Drosophila melanogaster: one gene and its partners. The protein of the gene in region 1 interacts with the protein of each later gene in a pairwise test. Each region holds a gene or a part of one and is shown on either strand. Other genes may lie near its edges. The genes, in order: zormin, Pof, CG2218 and eEF1alpha1.

Evidence for each region.
Region 2: the proteins of zormin (region 1) and Pof interact in a two-hybrid assay, tested with the Drosophila melanogaster proteins (one large-scale study listed by BioGRID).
Region 3: the proteins of zormin (region 1) and CG2218 interact in a two-hybrid assay, tested with the Drosophila melanogaster proteins (one large-scale study listed by BioGRID).
Region 4: the proteins of zormin (region 1) and eEF1alpha1 interact in a two-hybrid assay, tested with the Drosophila melanogaster proteins (one large-scale study listed by BioGRID).

The regions. Positions count from the first base shown.
Region 1 is NT_037436.4:2,148,683-2,153,464, reverse strand, and holds the start of zormin (zormin), read left to right. Parts: upstream 1-1,764; 5' UTR 1,765-1,855; intron 1,856-3,183; 5' UTR 3,184-3,375; coding exon 3,376-3,720; intron 3,721-4,782.
Region 2 is NT_033778.4:24,667,707-24,672,085, forward strand, and holds Pof (painting of fourth), read left to right. Parts: upstream 1-1,690; 5' UTR 1,691-1,768; exon of another isoform or gene 1,769-1,817; 5' UTR 1,818-1,864; coding exon 1,865-2,141; intron 2,142-2,195; coding exon 2,196-3,080; intron 3,081-3,141; coding exon 3,142-3,333; intron 3,334-3,391; coding exon 3,392-3,525; 3' UTR 3,526-3,871; downstream 3,872-4,379. Other genes in the region: CG4806 (uncharacterized protein), read right to left, coding at 1-595; CG33228 (uncharacterized protein), read right to left, coding at 767-974, 1,031-1,390, 1,446-1,525. UniProt on the Drosophila melanogaster protein: Probable RNA-binding protein that specifically binds to the fourth chromosome and may bind an RNA that spreads the fourth chromosome.
Region 3 is NT_033777.3:30,424,885-30,429,829, forward strand, and holds CG2218 (uncharacterized protein), read right to left. Parts: upstream 3,393-4,945; 5' UTR 2,957-3,392; coding exon 2,252-2,956; intron 1,931-2,251; coding exon 1,175-1,930; 3' UTR 543-1,174; downstream 1-542. Other genes in the region: CG15536 (uncharacterized protein), read right to left, coding at 1-253; CG15533 (uncharacterized protein), read left to right, coding at 3,958-4,945.
Region 4 is NT_033778.4:11,889,391-11,896,061, forward strand, and holds eEF1alpha1 (eukaryotic translation elongation factor 1 alpha 1), read left to right. Parts: upstream 1-1,744; 5' UTR 1,745-1,854; intron 1,855-2,005; exon of another isoform or gene 2,006-2,075; intron 2,076-2,731; exon of another isoform or gene 2,732-2,794; intron 2,795-3,732; exon of another isoform or gene 3,733-3,805; intron 3,806-4,151; exon of another isoform or gene 4,152-4,164; 5' UTR 4,165-4,184; coding exon 4,185-5,576; 3' UTR 5,577-6,130; downstream 6,131-6,671. Other genes in the region: ERp60 (endoplasmic reticulum p60), read right to left, coding at 1,281-1,429. UniProt on the Drosophila melanogaster protein: This protein promotes the GTP-dependent binding of aminoacyl-tRNA to the A-site of ribosomes during protein biosynthesis.

The DNA of each region.
Region 1 (4,782 bases):
GCTTTAAATATAGTAGTAGAAATATTTATTTAGTTAGTTCAAATTAAGTCTAAGGCTTGCAAAAATTAGAGAATTCCCAAATGGTTAGAAAATATATTTAAAGTAAGAATTTAAATTCACTTACGGCCAGTCGAAATTTTTGCCATTAATCATATGTTTAATATTTATTTATAACTATTTCTCCCACACAGTCACAGTCACAAAACATAGTGCAATTAATATCGAACATGTTTTACCCCAAAAATAAAGCTAATCATTTATAATTTTTTTCAATACCTCCTAACTTTTCAGGTATTTAGTTTTAAATTTTATGCTTAAGCAAGTAAGTAACTCGTAACTGCAAAATTTGAATGTAATCTCGAAAATCCATGAAAACATTGCATAACTTTGGGCTGCATCCGTGAAAAGTCATTGCCATCATCTGCACTTAACCCTTGAGTGCTCTTTTGGACTTTTCCACCCTAAATAATTTTTTTCAATTTCCCTCTGTGGGTGGCCCTTTCCCCCAAACATTTAACAAGTGGTCCTCAAGTGATTTCAATTATCTGAAATGTGAACTGGCAGTGGGTGCAGCGGGGAAATGGGGTTAAGAGGGGTTGGCTGCTTTTGTGAGCTTCGTCAAGTGGCTCATTAATCTCAATTAAAAAACATATAAATAAATCGCTCTGAGTGTGGTGAGTGAGTGAAAAGAGTTTATACTTAACGAGCTGATCATCCAGAAAGGCGAACCAAATATCTATGAGATTCTTTTCATGCCATTCGACCAGATTTTCTGACGTGCCGGCGCTGAAAGCATAATTCGATAAGTTCGAATCGTTGATAGCGAAAAATAATAACACACATCTGCAGCGCATTGATTGCCGCAACTGCTGTTGCACGCAAGAAGCGTCGGATGTTGCACGTTGAATATTGCACGAAATCCGGAGCCAAAGCCAAAGCTGCAAGACACGCATTTTGGGTGAAAAATACTTCATAAATTGGGGTATAGAGCATCATGGGTGGTGAGGGGATTTAAATGCGGGCGGTCAGTCAGTTTGCCTTGCATTAAGACACGATATCGTCTGGTTTCCTCCGCTGCTCTGGTGTTGTTATTTTGATCTTCCACTCTTCACCATGTTATTAAAGTACAAAAGCTGCACTTGAATATGTTGTGGTTTAAGGTACCTCGTCTTATATGGGGTGTATAAGACCAACGAGGAAAAGGTCTAGCCAAGGGGAAAAATCATCCACACATAAGATGTTAAGTTAGATGAATATTCAAAAGTAAATGCGAATAAATAAAGTGAGGGCATAAGAGGGTAGCAACAGTTCGCTTAAAGTTACCCTTTATCATCAGAATTACAGGGTACAAGCTCGCTTCATATCGCTTTACCTTCTCTTCGTATTGTAATTGCTGAAAAGCCGGGCGCAGGGCATTAAAAATTGAAATCATGAATTAACGACGCCGCGAATGCCAAGAGCACTTGTTTATTTATGTCGTCTCCCCTGAAGCCCCGCATCTTGCCTCTTTCTCTAGCGTCTAGCGTCTCCAGCCCTCTCTTTCACACTCTCTCATTTTCAAAATACAAGCCGGCTTTTCAAAACTGAGCTTAGCCAGTGTCAAGAGATCAAAACAAGAGAACCGCTACCTGCATGAATGAATTGAGCGAATCGGTTAAGTTTCATGGGCTGCACGCTCTTTATCTCTTTCTGATCGGCTGTCTCCCGTAGAATCTGCTCAGTCTTCGGTCTCCGGTCTTCAGTCTTCCGATCATTTAGTCAGTCTTGTTCGAAGTTCGCGGCGTTCGGTTGTTCGGCTGTTGGGAAAGCGGCGCGCGCGTTTTGATTTTCCACATCTCCACCGCTCGAATATAATGTGCGAATAAAAACATATCTATGTAAATTAAGTTAGGCAGAAAACGAGGAAGAAAACAATAAATTTGGCACTTCAAAAAAAAAGCGAAATGAAACGTAAATTAATCAGCCATAATTTACCTAGAACATTTTTGACATTCAAAAATGCTTGGCGCTAGTTTTTTTTGCGTTCACTCGTCTAAAGATGAAATCAACAATCTGTGCTAAATTTATTGTTGTTGTCGAATATTCAGTTTTGTGACGACCCTCAGAAAGCACAAACAAAATGTTTAACAAATAGAAAACGACACAGAATGCGCGAAAAAAATATTTTTCAAAAATATTCGGTGACCTGATGCATTGAAAGCTTATTTGTTTGAGTCATGTGCATATTTCAATATACTACAACAGTCCACGCCCCAGAAAATTTCAATCAACAATTTTCCATTTTTTTTTCTTTTAAATTTTTTGGACAACAACATATGGAGGCAAAGCATTTCCTCGATTGCGCTACTGTAAACTTTTATAAAGGGAACTTGTTCTTCCCAATTTTTGGTTTGCTGCTTATTTTTAGACAGCGCAAAGTACAATTAAAATAGTTTACATTACGCCAGCAACGGCGGCGACTATTAAAAATTGAGAGAAACACCAAAAATTACCTAATGGAGGCAGCTGGCTGCACACGAGCATACGCGGCGTATGCGTAATGTATTCAAAAATATCGAAAAATCCATGAAAAATGACTGACTGGCGACGACTTCTGCCAATGCAATTGGCACATGTTACAGATTTGACGAACATCCGCGCGCTTTATCTATTAGCTATAGTAGCCTGTATCTGTAGCATCGCAGTATCTGAGTATCTGGGCTAGAACAACAGTTTAGCTTCGTGGCAGAAATCGCCGCAAAAAATTACTCAATAGTTTGTTGTTTTAAAAATAAACGCGAATCGAGCATTGTCTTTGAGTTTTGGCGGGGCGGGGGGCTACCGAGGTTCTACAACGAGACTAGCACACGCATCAAAGGCAATTTTCTCAGGCTCAATATGCAAAAAGTACACACGATTCTCTCGGCTATATAGCCGTATATATAGACACTACGGAATAATAAACAGACACTAGAGCGACAGGGAGAGCGCGAGTATGAAGTCATAGTCATCGCGGCGGGCAAAAAGAATTCTCCGTTTCGAAAATCTACCGATTCGCGGAGGTTCTCAGACGATCGCCGGCGTTGATAGCGCTCGCAACGAAACGAAGGAACCGCCGAATCGAATCCCCTGGCTATAACTAATCCCAATAAATTAAATCCGAACGCGAGTGACTCAATCTAATAGTTCCACTTTTTCGAGCAGAGTTCAAAATGCAAAACACGAGACACAAGCAGGGGAAGTAAGCCAAAATACGAGAAAAACTAAACGACAGAGATTATAAAACGCCCACGCAAAACACACCAAACTACAAGCACTCACTCAATCCTCGAAAGTTAGTCAAAAAAAAAGAAAACAGAGAGAAGTAGAGACGAGCAGATAGAAAGAAAAGCAACCATGGAACGCCGCCAAGCCCTAGACTCATCGATGTCTTCGCTCTACTCGGTCGCCTCCTCCTCGAATCCCAATCCCCGCCAGCCGCACACCGGCCACCAACTTCAGACGCAGCAATCCCAGCAATCTCAGCAGTCCCAGCTAGACGCCTTCAATTATTCAGCAACAATGTCATCATCGTCGCCGACTCCAAGTCAGGCCATGTCCACAGCCATGTCCACGGGCACGGGCACCGGCACCGGCACCACCCACACCACACCACCATCCTCCTCCTCCCTGAGAGCCACCACCATTGGCACCGTTGTCGTCCGATGCGGACCCATCCAGCTGGTGATAGCGCTCCTACAAGTGAGTTGTACTCTTGTACCCCGCAAACAATAAAAATAGTAAACTAAAAAACGAAACGAATCCAAACAAAAAACACACAGCAAAAAGGCCAAGAAATGGGAAACAAACATGAAGAAACATTTATCTAGATACGGGAGAAGTGTTCGGAGAAAGCTCTTGAAGTGCGCGGAAATTTATGCGGAAGGCGATCTGGGAGGACTTCAAAAGAGATTTGGGACGGGGCATTGGGAGATCTTGAATAAATCATAAATCTAGAAGTGCAGTCAGGTTTCGAAAACACGGGGAAACATCTAGGATAAGCTGTGGTCATTGAAACATCTTATGAAAAAAGTTGCATTCGACTCAGTTTTATGTGAAGCTATAAAAATCCATAACAACCAATTAAGCCAGTCTAAATATATTAACCTTTTTTTTCAATATAAATGAGCTTATCATTTGAATGACGACATAATCTTTGTTCATTATTAATGACAGTGCAATTATATATTTACATTTTTTTCATTTTGCGTAGTGGGGCAAAAACAGTCTGAGAGATGTAAAGCAAAGAAAATAGTTCAATAGATACATTATCTCAGATTGTTATCAAATCATTTTTCAATCAATTTATCACTATAAAACAACGTTCGACTATTATTAAATGGCCCAGCCTCCAACCAAGCAAATGTTCACTACCAATCGGTCGACATTAATTGATAAATTTCTATAATTATCCCATAGCTAGCCCCTTCGGATCTGAGGCAAAACTATGTGACTTTAGCACTGAAAAATTCATGAACTTCTAATGCCCAAAACTGGCTTACAATTTTCGATTGTTTAAACCGGCTTCCAGCGATTTCCGCGCCAATTAGCACTCGAACAACGAAAGCAAAAGTTGTTGATAGCGGTTATAAATATTTGAAAAACGGCAGCAGAAAAACAAACGCCACAAAAGGTTCAAGGTTGTCTGACATCAGAGCAAAGACACAAAAGCCAACTAAACGTGACAAAAAGAAATGTATCTGCCAGATACTTTCGACAATTAGGCGCAGCTGCTACCTGTCTGGGTCCATTTCGAGCTGGCAG
Region 2 (4,379 bases), on another chromosome or scaffold:
CTTCGTCGTTCTCTTCGTCTTCAGATTCTCCAGAGTCCTCTTCATCTTCGCCGGATTCCGCATCAGAATCCTCCCCAGAACTTTCATCTTCCTTGCCAACTTCCGCGTCGCTTTCCTCCTTAACTTCCTTCTCGTCACCGTTTTCCTCTTTCACTTCCACCTTTGGCTTCTTCTCATCCGGCTCCTCGTCTTTCGGGTTCTTTGATACATACTCGTCCTTGCCCAAAGCCCAGTCCACAAATACCTTTCTCCCGAGCAGCTCTTTGCCGTTGGAGTTCAGGATCGCTTTGGTGGCCTGGTTAATGGTCTCGTACTGGACAAAGGCGCAGCCCACCAGCTTCCCGTCACCTCGTTTCAGGATGTGTACATCCTCCAGCGTGCCCCACTGCCCGAAATGCTCGCGAAGCGAGTCCTCCGTGGACTTGTAACTGATGTTGCGCACGATGAGACGCGCTCGCTTTTTCTGGCGGCGCTCCTTCTCTTCCTTCAGCCTCTGTGTGTTAAAGGGGTTGCGGCGCTTCCGGACCCCGGTTTCTGGCTGAGATTGGGATTCGGCAGCGTCGTCTTTTAAAGATTTCATTTTTTTAAGTTCCATTTGCACGTGGAACTCTTGATGAGAACTAACGAACAAAACAGCTGATCGGCAAAATACCCAAAATGAAGGTCCATCCCTGGTATAACCGATAGAAAATGGGCGGGAATTTACAAACATTTCAAAAAATGTTTTTAACATTTTATTTGTAACAATTATCAACAATTAAAAAGTCTACGTTTCTTGTTTGGTCGCGAACAGTTGGTGGAACTCCGAGGGGGTCTTGAAGTAATCAACCAGAAGCATTGAGGAGCGGTTGCCCAGTTTGTACATAATGTGGCTCCAGGGATTTAAAAAATTCTTGTATTCAGCTATTTGACCGCGTTCAAAATAGTGTTTTACAGTTCCAATGGGTAGTTGGGACCCATAGACAGCCACGTATCTAAAAATAAAGTAAGTTACTACTTATAAATGTCATGTACTACCGTACAAAGTTACTTTTCCGAGCTCTTGTATATTCTCAGTGGATATTTGGCGACAAAAGCTCGAATCGCCAGGTTTATAAGCAGAAATCCACCCACAAAGTAGTACAGATCTGATTCCTGGGACACCAGAATGGCTATGTCCATTTTCTGGACCATATCCAGGTAGTTTATGGTTGTGGCATAGTGATAGGCGGCCACCGCAGCAAGTACAGTGGTCGTGGCAGTGGATATATTCTTCGTCCAGGTCACGTAGCTCTCGATAGGGGCCCGGTAAATCAGTTTATAGTTATCTGGTAGCCTGTCGCCAAAGAGGAGCTTCCGTTCCACTTCGCCGGAGGATGCATTCCGCCATTTGCGGAGCACGCTGCTGGTGCTAAATGAGAAGGTGCAGAGTGATTCAATCGGATAGGTCAATGGATAGGTCTTACTGTAAGAGCTGGAAATTCGGTTTAGCTAGTATTGGCCGTAAATAAACCAATTTAACACTTCGTAAGAGGGCCGCACACATTTTGTGTTTTATTATGCTGTCTTTGAAAACAATCTGGCAACGTGATCAGCTGTGCTGCAATCAGCGGCACTACCCGATGGTTGTCAAAGAAGAAGGTCTGGCAACGTATGTGCTTGAGGAATGCACCGAAGAATAATCAGCTGTGCCTCGAAGTTGCCGGATCACCAGGTCGCAGCAGCTATGAGTTTTGCGTCAGACTCGAATAATGATTAGAAGCCGACTCCTTCCGGAAACATTCATTAGGTAAACAACACAGCTATAGAACAGACTTTTCCAGTTTCCACAACTTTAGCTAGGAACACGTTCCACATTTTTCCACATTTTTGATACCTTAACAAAATGGATTCAAAACGCGCGGCCCTTGAATCCGGCGACGGTCCGGACGCCAAGCGCCTTGATACCACCGATGATCAAGACAAAGAAGCGTCGGGGGGCGACGGCAGTCAGGTTATGCTGGCCAAACACGTAGCACCCTACACGGGCCACGGATGTACTCCACCGATGGAGTCCTATTTGTTCGAACCGACTCCCGCCGGGAGTCAACTTCTGCCGTGGAAAACTAGCGTTGATTTGGACAACGACGCCGAGCTGGAGAAGCCCACCAGTGACAAGAAACGTAAGTTGATGGTACGCTCACATCCTAGTACTCTTATACAACAATTTCATTCAGCCGACACTGCCAAGTTGTCCCGTCGGGAGCTGGCCAAAATGCGCCGTGAACACACATTAAGGGCCCTCGCCCTGGAACGCGAGTTGACCAACAAACCGGGGCAGACACCCGCTTCCGAAGTGTTGCTCGTCCGCTTTCCTGATCCCGAGATTACTGCTCCCATGCTGGCAGGACTGTCCAAGGATATTCGGGATGTGGTCTTGCCCATTAGCGTGGCTCCACGATACTGTCTAGTGCATCTAAAGGCCGGTGCCGATGTGGAGGCCACCATCTGCGACATAAACAGGGTGCGCTTCGGTACGGGGCACCTTCGGGCGGAGCTTAAGCCGTTCTCCGATGAGGAGCAGGCCGAGTTCATTGATCCCTGTTCTCTGTATGTGGGCAACATACCGTTCAACATGACCACATCGGCCATAAAGGCCTATTTCGCCAACGCCATGCGCGTGGACATCGGAGTGCTGAAGCGCGAGAAGCGCGCTCGCTACGCCTTTGTGCGTTACGCCTCACCTGACCAGACCATGGAAGCGTTCAAGGAGCTGGTCGACTCACCGCTGAACAGCCGCACTCTCACAGTCCGCTATCGGCGACTCCGGAAGCGCGCCGGGATGCCAATGGTGCAGTGCGCCACCTCCTTTCAGGCGCTGCAATCCCCAAATGGAGACGACGACAACACTGACTGCAAGGTCATATCTCCACCGCCGTTAGAGTCTATCATAATTAGCGACAGCGATAACTGCTCAGATTCCAGTGGCAACGGCAAGGAAGACGGCAAGCGCAAGAAGAAGATAAATGAACAGGAAAGAGAGATTGAAAAGCTCAAGCGTCAAATGGCCGAGTACGGCGCTATTATAAAAAGTTTGCAATTTAGACAGAACAGCTTAGAAGGTCTGTGTTGATCTGTTTTGAATATATACTGAGCTTACAAAAACTACTTTTCCATTCGCAGATACATTTATACCTGACCTTACACCCAAAGTAGAGCCGAGCGTGAATCCCACAGGTTGTTTACTAGGATCCAATGCGGTGCACCTAATGCGTGACATTAAGAAAGAGTGCGACTATTTGGGCATCCCTGATCCCGTACCGGCTACCAAGCCGACAACACAAGCTCAAGATGACAGCCAGAAGAAAGCCAAAAGTATACTAATACCCAAATTGAGTTCTTTGACTTACTCTCCTCCTCTTCTCTTGCTTAGGATCGTGTTTTGGCCGCTTGTTTACGGGTCCTTTCAGACGAGGCACTAGTGCGATGAAGACTGCTGACGAGTACGAGAAGGATGACAGACTTGAGGAGCTCTATGCTCAACTGGAACGCGATCCTGATCCTTAATCTGTCATGCTACAGTGTACCAAATTACTCGTCGTAGACGAATTAGAATAATAGTTTAGTTTATTTTTTATTGGACTTCTGTTTCTTTATTTGTTGTATCTTCGTTTTCGTTTTTGTTCAGTTTCTCTTATTTCAGCGTACATTTATGGTATATAATATTAATAATAATACATAATAATACGTAAGTTAAATAATATTTCGGTTTTAAATATTAAACCCGAAAAAATATCGTTTAATGGACTGTCTTAAATATCACTTATATAATAATCATATGTACTCGATGATGATTTTCATATTAGTTTATATATGGTCAAGTCACGTATCGTTTTGTAAACTTAAAACACTTGAGTTTGCGAAATTGTAGCACAGCTGGAGGAGCATGCGGAGCTCCTTTCCCATGTGCCGACATTAACAATTATATCTAAACTAAATTACGTTCAATGCTCAGTATTTTATTTTTGTTTGGTTCTCTCCAATTCCTTGCATATGGCTCGTTAAATTTAATATCGCAATTTGTCATTACCAAAACAGCAAAACTACGTAGAGAACTTCTGGTTTGATATGACTTTTGATCGTTTTGTGATTTGAATGCGGAATGTTATAAACTATTTCATTATATTTAAGGCTGATTTTATTTACACAACAACAAAAGTATTTGATAAGGCACCTGTGTCACATGCTGATCGCTCAATTTACAATTGATATTCTGTTCGATTTCAATTTGTATGTTTTCATTATTCTTTTTTGGATTTCCTCTCATCGTATTCGATATGATGTGCGTAACATTTGAATTTCAAGCACTTCGGTGTCCAACGTGCAGTAAAATTTTGGAAACTTTACTCGAGTGGCTAGCG
Region 3 (4,945 bases), on another chromosome or scaffold:
TAATTCCGTGGGCCGCAGCAAACTCTAGCTTCTTCTTGGACAAGCCTGTCCTGCTTTTGGACAATCCTATCCTGCGAGAGCTCAGCGATAAAGGCGGTGCCCGCGGAGTCTCCTGTTCACTACATTTTGGTGTATTTGCAGCGGAATCGTCTCTCTGAAGTCTTATTAAGGGCGTTGACTGGCAACCACGCCTACTCAATCCGAGTCGGGGTCTCCGTCCGGATTGAGGCGTGTTATTTGCCTCACCAGGCATTAAAAATTAGAAAAAACGTACTAACCAAAAGGATTTTGAAATATCGCAGAACAGATGTGTAATCAGCTGTTCTCTTCGATATCGATAACACGCGAAAGGAGTAGTACTAAGAGAGTGACAGTAGAGGGCGCCACAAAGGAATGTAGGTTACCATGAAGAGAATGTAAATTATTATGTAAAAAATAACAAATTAGATTTTTTTGATATATAACGTAAAAAATAATTCTTAAGTGAGAAATGTAAACATATTAAAAACCACTATTTTGTTTTATTTATATTTATTGAGAGTAGTGATAAAAAAATACACATTGCATAAAATTATGCACAATTATTTCCGATTCAAAATTAACAATAACCGGTACAAATAAAGCAATTACAACTAAAACTAATTTAAAATTTTAAGCTTTTCGACAATTTCAACTTAACAGAAACACATTTTGTTTAAACGAGTTTAAAAAACGCAATGAATGCCAAACTGTGGAATATATCGCTACTACTCTCCATTGATTACACATTGGACTTAGGTTTTATTGTACTTTATTCTAGGTAGAATTGGTATGAATATATAAACTCGCGCTGAACGATCCTGTCTTTCGGGGACTGTATATAAAGTGTCTACAAAAACTAGGCGCGCACTCTCTATTGCTAATCGGTAATCCGTAATCTGCTCTATGACTAAACGTGACCTGATACTGATACATACTGCCGAATCGGGAGGGACTCGCGCGTGTACACATTTGGCTTAACTGCGATTTTGCGATTCTGCGACCAGACCGACTCTGATATGACTATAAACTAACGTAGACGAGGCCTAGGGGCTAAAGCGATTGACTGGCTTACAAACTGAACCGGATGGGGAGAACCAAACTCATTGCGGCAATCGACGGAAGGCGGTCGATTGGGAGATGTACGGGGAAGCTCTTAAGGATCCAGCTTGTGGTAGCGCTCGACGTCGGCGCAGCGGAAGAATACTTTGCACACGCACTGCTGATCCTGCGAGAGGAGCACCAGGCACTCCCGGCAGACCAGATGTCGGCAGGTGCGGATTTCGTAGCCGAACTGCGCACTCCGGCAGTTGATGCAGCTGGCGGGCGGAGCACTTGAGGATCCCGAGCCTGCGCTGGAGTTCGATGGCAATTGGCTAAAGCGCGTCACCTTCTGCAGCGCCTGTTGAATGGCCTGATCGATGGAGGTTGTGGCCGAGGTCACCGTGGCACAGGCGCTACCGTGTTGGCTGTGCCTTGCTCTTTTGGCCGCCGGCGGCGAGTGCGGAGATCCGCCGAAGGATGCCGCCGATGAGGATGTGGCCGTGGCAGTGGCCCTGCTCTTCCGCTGCTGCTGCTTGTAGGCGTTGCTCAGTGCCGAATAGGTTCCGGCAGCCGGACTAATCTGTCCCGGCTGACAGGTGCTGCTGGCGAACTGCGAGGCGTGACGACGACGCTGGCGAGAGGTGCCCAGCGAACGGGGCACCGCCTTGAAGTGCTCCGAATTCTCCATGAGGAACTTCTCGATGCGCGCTTTTAGGGCCAGGTGGAGAATCGCCTTGCGTTGCGCATTGAACTCCAGGCCTGTAAACGGATCCGAGGGCTGGCGACCCCACTTGGCCTCCTCCTCGGCGTGCTTGTCGATGGTGGACTGGTCCACCACTTTTCCAGATGGCAGCACGGTGGGGAAGATCTGAAGAGGCAATGGGAGAATTGATAAGGAGAGCTACAAAGTAAACAGTTCACAGAGCATCCTATTATCTTTATATTTAAGTGTTGTTGCGTTTCGGACATTATAATGCAATTCTCATTATGAAGAAAATGAATTCTTTACATGACTTCCGATATTTACCTTGTTTGGTTTTGATAAAGACATGATAATTGATTCATAAAGATTATAAAGAATTATGAATAATAAAACCGTGCAAAACGATTGATTTCATGAATTGACATGGGTATGTATTCAGTTGTACTACTACTTAAACATAAAAAGCTAGGATTTTCTGATATTTACCATTAGCTCCCAGGTGATGGAGTCGAGGAACTCTTCAGGAATAGAGAGGGTCGACTGGTCCCTGAGCTCTGGAACATTCCGCGGTGGTGATCTCTGCCCGGTGGGCGTTTGGGCCGCGTCCCTCTGGCCGTAGGGATCGCTTATCTCGCTCCAGATGGTCTTGACCAGCTCGCGATCGGCTTTGTCCAGCGAACGAGCGGGCAGTCCCCACATCTGAACTTTCCTCAGCACTGGAGGACACCTTTCCGTGGCCCGGATCACCACCTTGACGCTGTTTGTGCTGGCAAGGATCTTGTGGGCGGACTTGAAGAAGAACACCTTCTCGCTCTGCTCCGAGTTGGAGCTGCTCCGTGAGTTGTAGTCGCTCTGGTAGCAGAAGGTCACCGAGTCCACGCCACGCCCCAGATCGCGTACGAAGGCAACCCTTTCCCAGATACCATCGTGTCGTCCATGCAGCTCGAAGGCAGTGGATCGTAGGGCTCCGCAGGAGGGCCACAGCTTGATGACCTTCATGTCCACCGCCTTGGGGAAGTCGAATACGATCTCTATGGGCGGCTTGCAGACGGCGAAGCACATGAATCCACGCTCCAGCTGCTCGACGTCGTCGGCCACCAGATTGGCCGCAGTGTAGCCATCCTCGCAGACGGCATCGGTCTCTACGGAGGGCTTAAGCTTTGGGTTGAGGAAGTTGATCAGACTGCTCATCCTGGCTGCCCACTGTGCTATACTCTCGGCTGCTGTTATGTGGCTCTTCACGGCGTATATCTACTCTGTGCCCCACCTGCTCTTTATTCGCAATGAAAATGGCGTCACTTCTCGGGAATCTTTTGTTGTTGCGTCTGCCTGCGGAGGCTGCTAATCCTGCCTGGTAATCCCCTGCTAATCCCGCACTGGGTGCGCTCCTGCTCTCAGCCGATCCTGAACACTCACAGCCTGGCCTGGACTTCGGCTGGCATCTCACAACGCTGCTTCAATTGCAATTATCGCCCTGCCTCTTCGAATATTTATAAATCACTCGCTTGTGCAGTGTGACCATGCCCGGGCGGTAGTGGTGGTGCGACCAGTCAGATGGACTTCGCTCAGTACTCGCGTACGGTAACACCTATTCGCTTGGGCGGCAAAAATTGAATGAGTTAAAATATTTGTTTCAACGTATAATGCAAGCCTTTTCGAAATCTGTTTCGTTTCGAATGAAACAATGAAAAACACGATTGCTATGGTTGAGTTATATTCATTTACATTTTGAAAAAGTGTATACTTAATTTGATTTCTTGTTCAATAAGCAAAAACGATCTCAAGAACTTTGTTTATCATTTATACTTAAATTAGCAAAGCAGATATGATAAGGTTCATCAGTTTACACTATAGGCTCTGGCTTCTTTGAATCATAAAGTATCTAGTTAAAAAGGGAAAGTTATATCGAAATATGTAATATGACTTATTAATTGCCTATTTGTGGTGAATGGTCAAAAATGGTAATTTTTGCGATATGATTATTTAGAAATCTGCCCCACCGGAGGCAGATTGTGGCCACTTCTCATGCCAAAAATATAATCATATAAAAGTTCTACTATTCGAGATTAGGCTAATCTCTGCCATGAATGCGTTTTCCGGCCTGGTTAATGGGGTGGCCATTGGCTGAGAGATAACCGAAAGCTATAAATGGCCCCACACGTGGAAACTATGCTCCAGTTGCTCTGCGAACCATGAAAGCAATCGGAATCCTGCTGGCGATCGCCTTGACCTCCGGGTTCCTGGTGGTCTCCGCCGTAAACTTGCCGGGAGTGCCCGTGGACTTCGACCTGGACGACCACATCCTGTCCGCCATTGCAGACGACATAGCCGAGCGTCTGGCCAGGGAGTACATCACCTTCCTGAAGACCGGAGTGGAGACGGCGGAGTTCTTGAAGCTCACCAATCAGCTGGCCAAGTCGCACAGTGAGAAGGATATATTCACCAGGAACATGCCCGATCTAGAGCCCAGGGATAGCTTCTTTGCGTGCGTGGCCTGTCGCTCGGTGACGCGGGTTTTGATTCGCACCATTCGCGAGGAGGACGGCGAGCTCCACGGGGAGAATAGCTCCGTTCTGATGAAGGAATTCGCTATGGACGTGTGCCGCCGCTTGAATCTGCAAACGGAGGAGGTCTGCGAGGGATTGATCGATTCCAACCTGCCCTCCGTGGAGTACATCATGAGGAACTCCGAGAGTGATTCCCAGAGCTTCTGCTCCTTGTTCATGGAGTTTAACTTCTGTAACACCGGTACAAATCAAGATTACAATTGGACCTTGACTATAGACAATACTGGAGAGGCTTCGGCTGGCCCCAAGTCGGACACTCCCACCTTTCAGGACTCGGACATCAGGATCTGCCAGTTCTCCGACATTCACCATGATCCCTACTACACCCCCGGCAGCCTGGCCACTTGTGCGGAACCCATGTGCTGTCAGAGGAACAAGGAGACCACCGAGGGTACGTCGGATGCAGCTGGATACTGGGGCGACTACCGGGACTGCGATCTGCCTTGGCACGCCTTCGAGTCAGCCTTGGACAACGCGGTGGCCAACTCCAAGTGCGACTTCATTTACCAGACTGGCGACATAGTGGACCACATGGTGTGGGCCACTTCCGTGGAGAAGAACACCATGGTGCTGACCAAGGTCAGTGAGCGGCTAAACGCGGCCTTCGGAGATG
Region 4 (6,671 bases), on another chromosome or scaffold:
TTAAACAGGAAAAAACACTCTGTTAGGACACGTCACTTAAACATTATGTTGGTAACAATACTATCTAATTCATCATTTGTTATCAAGGCAACGGGAAGACAAGTTCCCAAAAAACTAGCTTGTAATTAAAGTAAGGGTGCTGGAATTATCAACTGTCTTATCACACAAGTACAAGTGCCCATTAGGCATACAGAGAGAAAAACGACTTGGTACTTATTTGAAACAGCAGAGTATAGTCTGCACTCTTAGCAGTGCAGATAATAATTCATTTTTGATAAAGATAAGTGATGCCTTAAGTTAACTATGTTATAATGAAAAGAGCAGTTTTATTGCAGTGTACAACTTTTTCAACTTCATCCCTGTGTATTTATGCTTGAATACTGATAAGGTTCGTCATGAGGGAATCAAGTCTCCATGCCAAGTAGTTCAACAGCTCTTTGGGGATTTCGAAAGCCGGCCGGCAAAAAAAACGCTAATAATTTACCTAGTTCATTGTCCAAGTGTGAGCTTATAGTTTACCCCTGATAATGGGCAAACAAATGGCTCAAAAGAGAGTAAATAGGCACAGTAAATATGTGTTATGTACTAAACAAAAATGTATTAAAAGGTTATTGTGTTCAGTGTGGATTACGATGGAAGTTAAAAATGTGTCTACTGACATGAGAAATTTATAGCACAATCAGCATAACTTTTGTGAGTAGGCAGGCAATTAAAATTGAAGTTTTAATATGGTTGGTGTAAACTGTTGGGAAATTACATTTGTATGAGAACTGTGAGTGTTTCAGACTATGATAACCAGTTTCAAGCTAAATCTAAGTTAACCCTTAGAATTACACATTCCTGGGATTATGGGTATAATGCATAGGCATAAGAAACTATAATAAAAGATGCGCTATGTACACTGGGGCCCCTATGCCTGCTCACTATCATTAGCCAGTGGACAAGTGGAGCAGGAATTGCACGGAAATTGTACCAACTAGGCACTTTGGCACCCCGCGCTCTAAAATGGCCGACGGCACCAATACTGGCATATCATCATTGCCCCTCTCTTTGCGTCTCGTTTCGTTCCGTCACTCGTTCCTTCTTTATTTGCCGGCAAAAGCAAGGCAAACGCTGACGTGTACTTTGCGCTTGCGATGGCCGGAAAATCGGGCATCGGTCGGCACTGGGCATTGGGAATCGAATTAAGTTGCGGACGCAACAAGCGGATTATACGCGAATCGCACACGCAATGCATTTGTTGTAGGATGGCGCCCGGCCACGCCCACTCACTAACTCACCAGGGGGCGTAGAACATGACCAGCGTCGTCTCGTGTTGTTTTAGGGTGGTGGCAAAGTCGTCGTCCCCCAGTTCCAGGACATCCTGCTCCGCTCCGGACGAGATGGCGATGAAGCCTAGTAGGAGCACTCCAGCAAGGCGCCACATCATTATTTGGGTTCACTTGAAGCGATATCGGTGAATAATTCAAGTTCAACTAGGCCGTCGAACGCCTACTTCTACAACAAAAACTGAGTACCGGACCGGTTCGGTATTTTTCAACGATTGAATTCGCTTTTTGCCTCTTTCGCCACGTCGCTTCTTATTCTGTTTCGTCGTAGTGTGGCCAGGTGGGGCTAGGCCGAAAATGTCTAAAGTTGGAAAAAGCTCTCAGTTGTGAGCTTTCCTGCATATGTAAACAATAAATAAAGATGGCTCATCATTTATTAATGACTAATGTCTATATGTGTGGGTTTTAAATGCTTTAGCTATAATTCTTTCCAGTCACACAGAAAAGTTGAGATCTAGATTTAAATTAATTTAATTGATACCGATTTATAATAAAATTTTGTCAAATTATCATTTCATAAAAGATGGTAATTGCATTTATTGTTAACTGATTTCGCAAGCATAACAATAATCATATTATTAATAACTAATTAATTAATTTCACAAAATTAGGAAAACACTTAGGAACTTTTAATTGCGTCCTATATAAGGGGCAGGCTAACAACTTTTGTTCTATGCACAATGAATAAATTTATTGAGTACAAGTGAAAACTGAGTGAAAAAATAGTCTAACAAAAAATATTAAGCAGTAAGTTACAAATTCAAATAAATATTAGCATTCTGATGAATTCCAGAAGAAAAAGTATTAAAACGTGAGATCTTAAGTTATAAATTTTTACAATATTGTATAAATTGATACAATACCAAATTACTTATAGTTTTATTTGTAGCATATTTTAGTTGTAGCAACGGACGCCAAAAAATGTATAAATAAATGAAACGTATTACATAAATTTAAACGATCTCAAGCTTCTATTGTTATTTAAAGTTCTATTACGTTAGGGTTCACATACAAATTAAAGTTCAGGTTCTAGTCTAAAAGTTCAAAATGCGGACTACTAATGCAATTGTTATAGTTTTTAAATATTAAGAGATATGTGTTCCAATATTACGTATAGAAATTATAGACATCGTTTTGTAGAAAATATTTTTGGAATCACTGATTATTTAGTTTTTCATATAAAAACAATGTCGAGCAAACAAGGTTTTTTAAATCCCTCAATCGTTAGGTTATTGTATTTTGCCACTTTCAATCACTTAAATTTCAATAAAATGAAGTGCTTCATTCGCGCGTAGTGGAAACACCGCAGTGAGAACACGGTTTCTGCTCTTTTGACAGTTGCGTAGCTTCGGTCACACCATGTGTCAAACGAGGCTTCCTGTGCTGAGCTCTGCCGAACGCTCGTTCACTTTGTTCGAATCCGTCGCCGCTTAGACTTCGTGATTTCTCATTCAGCTTATTCGAGAGTAAGTTTTACCTGCGAGGCTATAATTAAGTAATTTCTGCAACGGGACTGCAGCCAGAAAACAATTTATAAACAAATATGCAGCTGAGACGCCGAATTTGTGCATATTTCCAGTGTTTTTCCTGTGTGTGTGTAATAAACCCGGAGATAACCTCTAACTGCGGTTTTCCAAAGTGAAAGGTGGCCATAGAAGCAAACACGTGGCAAGTCTGCAAAGGCAAAAATTTTAACTGGCGTTCCCAGTTAAAGTTCCCAGCATTCTCAAAATAATTTTCCGGCTTTTCCGGCCGCATTTTCGCCCTGCAATATGGTGCACTTAGTGTGTAATTACTTTGCCACGCCCACGCCGGACACAGAGGTCATCCACCAGATGTGCTCATTAACCGAGAAAAAAAAACGTGCTTTCTCTCTTGCCTTTGTCATGACCTATAGATATTCCTTATTCTTTCTTTTTGCGGCATGGAATTCTAAAATGGCGACCCAGTGGCGTGAGTCAAGTGGGCGAAAAAAATTCGCCTGGCAACAAGCGAAAAAATGTGCTTTTTTGGGTTTCCAGCCCATTAGCATATCTGGTGAAATGGCACTCGCATCAGCTATTTCGCCATTTCCAACCGACTCCATAATTGGTTTTGGTAAAATGGCTGCCGCTGCACTACGTTCTTGAATAATTCGTTGTGTGCCCCTCTCTTTTTCATTTCTTTCCAATTACCAATTGTGCCACCGCGGCGAGATCGCTTGCATTTGTACAAGTCACACACGCACACTAATGCACATCCGCCATTTTGGTCTCTCTCTCTCTCTATTCCTCTCTTACTTTTCCTCCGGCCGGCAACAGCGTCACACAAATACACAGGCATAGATATACACACGCATAGGCAGATAAGCACATGTGTATTTGCGAATTAAATTTGCTGGAATTTTCCTTTGGACTCTTCGATTTAACATGATGATGATTTTTCAGTTCTGCTACTGAAGACAGTTGACGAAAGCAAAAATACCAAAATCACTGAAACAAAATCGAGTTTCCATATGGAATTTTATTTGCACGCTCTTTTCTGTAGTTGCGCCCCACTCGTTTTACCCACACCCTTACATGCGGGCACTGGACCTAACCTCAAAAAACACGTTTTGTACGGCTGCAAGAGTTTGAGGTTAGGTTGTGCTCGCGCATGCAAACAAAAGTCGAACGTACGCTAGGGAAATGAGAAAGTGTTATACCCACTAATAATTGTAGTTGTAATCCCACCGAATGCTAACGAATTGTTTTACCCTTTGTTTATTCCAACCTCTCTTGCTCGCCAACCCGCCGAACCCTGCAACCTTCCAATGTTCCAACGTTCCGTCAATCCAACACTCGAATACACACAACAGCCATAGTGTAATCATCCAACATGGGCAAGGAAAAGATTCACATTAACATTGTCGTGATCGGACACGTCGATTCCGGTAAGTCGACCACCACCGGACACTTGATCTACAAGTGCGGTGGTATCGACAAGCGTACCATCGAGAAGTTCGAGAAGGAGGCCCAGGAGATGGGAAAGGGATCCTTCAAGTACGCCTGGGTTTTGGATAAGTTGAAGGCTGAGCGCGAGCGTGGTATCACCATCGATATCGCCCTGTGGAAGTTCGAAACTGCCAAGTACTACGTGACCATCATTGATGCCCCCGGACACAGGGATTTCATCAAGAACATGATCACTGGTACCTCGCAGGCCGATTGCGCCGTGCTGATTGTCGCCGCCGGAACCGGAGAATTCGAGGCAGGTATCTCGAAGAACGGCCAGACCCGCGAGCACGCCCTGCTCGCCTTCACCCTGGGTGTGAAGCAGCTGATCGTTGGTGTGAACAAGATGGACTCCTCCGAGCCACCATACAGCGAGGCCCGTTATGAGGAAATCAAGAAGGAAGTGTCCTCTTACATCAAGAAGATCGGCTACAACCCAGCCGCCGTTGCCTTCGTGCCCATTTCCGGATGGCACGGCGACAACATGTTGGAACCCTCTACCAACATGCCCTGGTTCAAGGGATGGAAGGTGGAGCGCAAGGAGGGTAACGCTGACGGCAAGACCCTGATCGATGCCCTCGATGCCATCCTTCCCCCAGCCCGTCCCACCGACAAGGCCCTGCGTCTGCCCCTGCAGGATGTGTACAAAATTGGCGGTATTGGAACAGTACCCGTGGGTCGTGTGGAGACTGGTGTGCTGAAGCCCGGTACCGTTGTGGTCTTCGCCCCTGCTAACATCACCACTGAGGTCAAGTCCGTGGAGATGCACCACGAGGCCCTGCAGGAGGCCGTTCCCGGAGACAACGTTGGCTTCAACGTCAAGAACGTGTCCGTGAAGGAGCTGCGTCGTGGCTACGTTGCCGGTGACTCCAAGGCTAACCCCCCCAAGGGAGCCGCCGACTTCACCGCCCAGGTCATCGTGCTGAACCACCCCGGTCAGATTGCCAACGGCTACACCCCCGTGTTGGATTGCCACACCGCTCACATTGCTTGCAAGTTCGCTGAGATCAAGGAGAAGGTCGACCGTCGTTCCGGCAAGACCACCGAGGAGAACCCCAAGTTCATCAAGTCTGGCGATGCTGCCATCGTCAACCTGGTGCCCTCTAAGCCCCTGTGCGTGGAGGCCTTCCAGGAGTTCCCCCCTCTGGGTCGCTTCGCTGTGCGTGACATGAGGCAGACCGTGGCTGTCGGTGTCATTAAGGCTGTCAACTTCAAGGATGCCTCCGGTGGCAAGGTCACCAAGGCCGCCGAGAAGGCCACCAAGGGCAAGAAGTAGCTGGTTTGCTTCCACTCAACAACAACAACAACACGCAGTAGTAGCAGCAACAACAAGCATATAACCAACATCATAATGCAGCCAACAACACCACTCAATAATACCAGCAACAGCAGCAGCGAACACAATAGTAGTATAACACCAACACCTGTCCTGCGCAAGATGACCGATAAGATGATGTTTCAGCAGAAGCATAAGTTTAATTTCTTCCATCGAAAGGAGTTTCGACGGATACGAATGCTAAATGCAGACGAGGCCGCCTAAATTGGGAAACGGTGGATCCCAAGGATAAGAGTGCACACTGGGAAAACACTTGCATTTATGCATCCACTCCTCATCCACTTCCCCGTCGATCTTTAGTTTACTAAATATGGTATGATGCACGGAGTTGACTTCGTTTTATCATATCATATATAGGAATCCTCTGTAGCATTTATGATATCGTTTAAATTAACCTTTATACTTTGATATGTATCATTTATCTTACCCTACTTTTGCACACACTACTTTGTACACAAGAAAAGAACCAGAATAGAAGCGATAACTATATTTACAAAAAAAATAAAAACCCTATTTTTGTATTTCTTTTGTTTTTACCACCCAGCCCGTAAAAGAGCACTCTCTTTGCTTGTTGCCTCCCGATTTTCAGCGCCATGATCGATCGTCCCTAACTCCAAGTTCACTTATCGTCGATGCCACAAAGTACAAACAAGAGCTAGTCGAAGAGTACAACAATTGAATCTGACAACAAATACCTCAATCGTTTAAATAAAGCAAGCAATTGCATCTGAAGAATAATGAATATTTTTTATTGTATTTGAGGGGGGGGGGGGGGCTTTTATTTCTCATCGCAAATAGAGAAAAATGCATTGATTTATTTATTTAAATAATAACGAACGAAGTTGGAACAAGTGTTTTTTTATAATTTCTGTTTAAAGTTATGGGATATATTATTTCCTTCGTAAAATCTGTATAAAAACAAATTAAAAAATGTACTAGAAAATAAACTAAGATCGTAAAATACATATATGGATTTAAATATAACTATATTTACATTGGAGTAATTTGCACAAAAAGGTGAAACAGTGTGGGAAA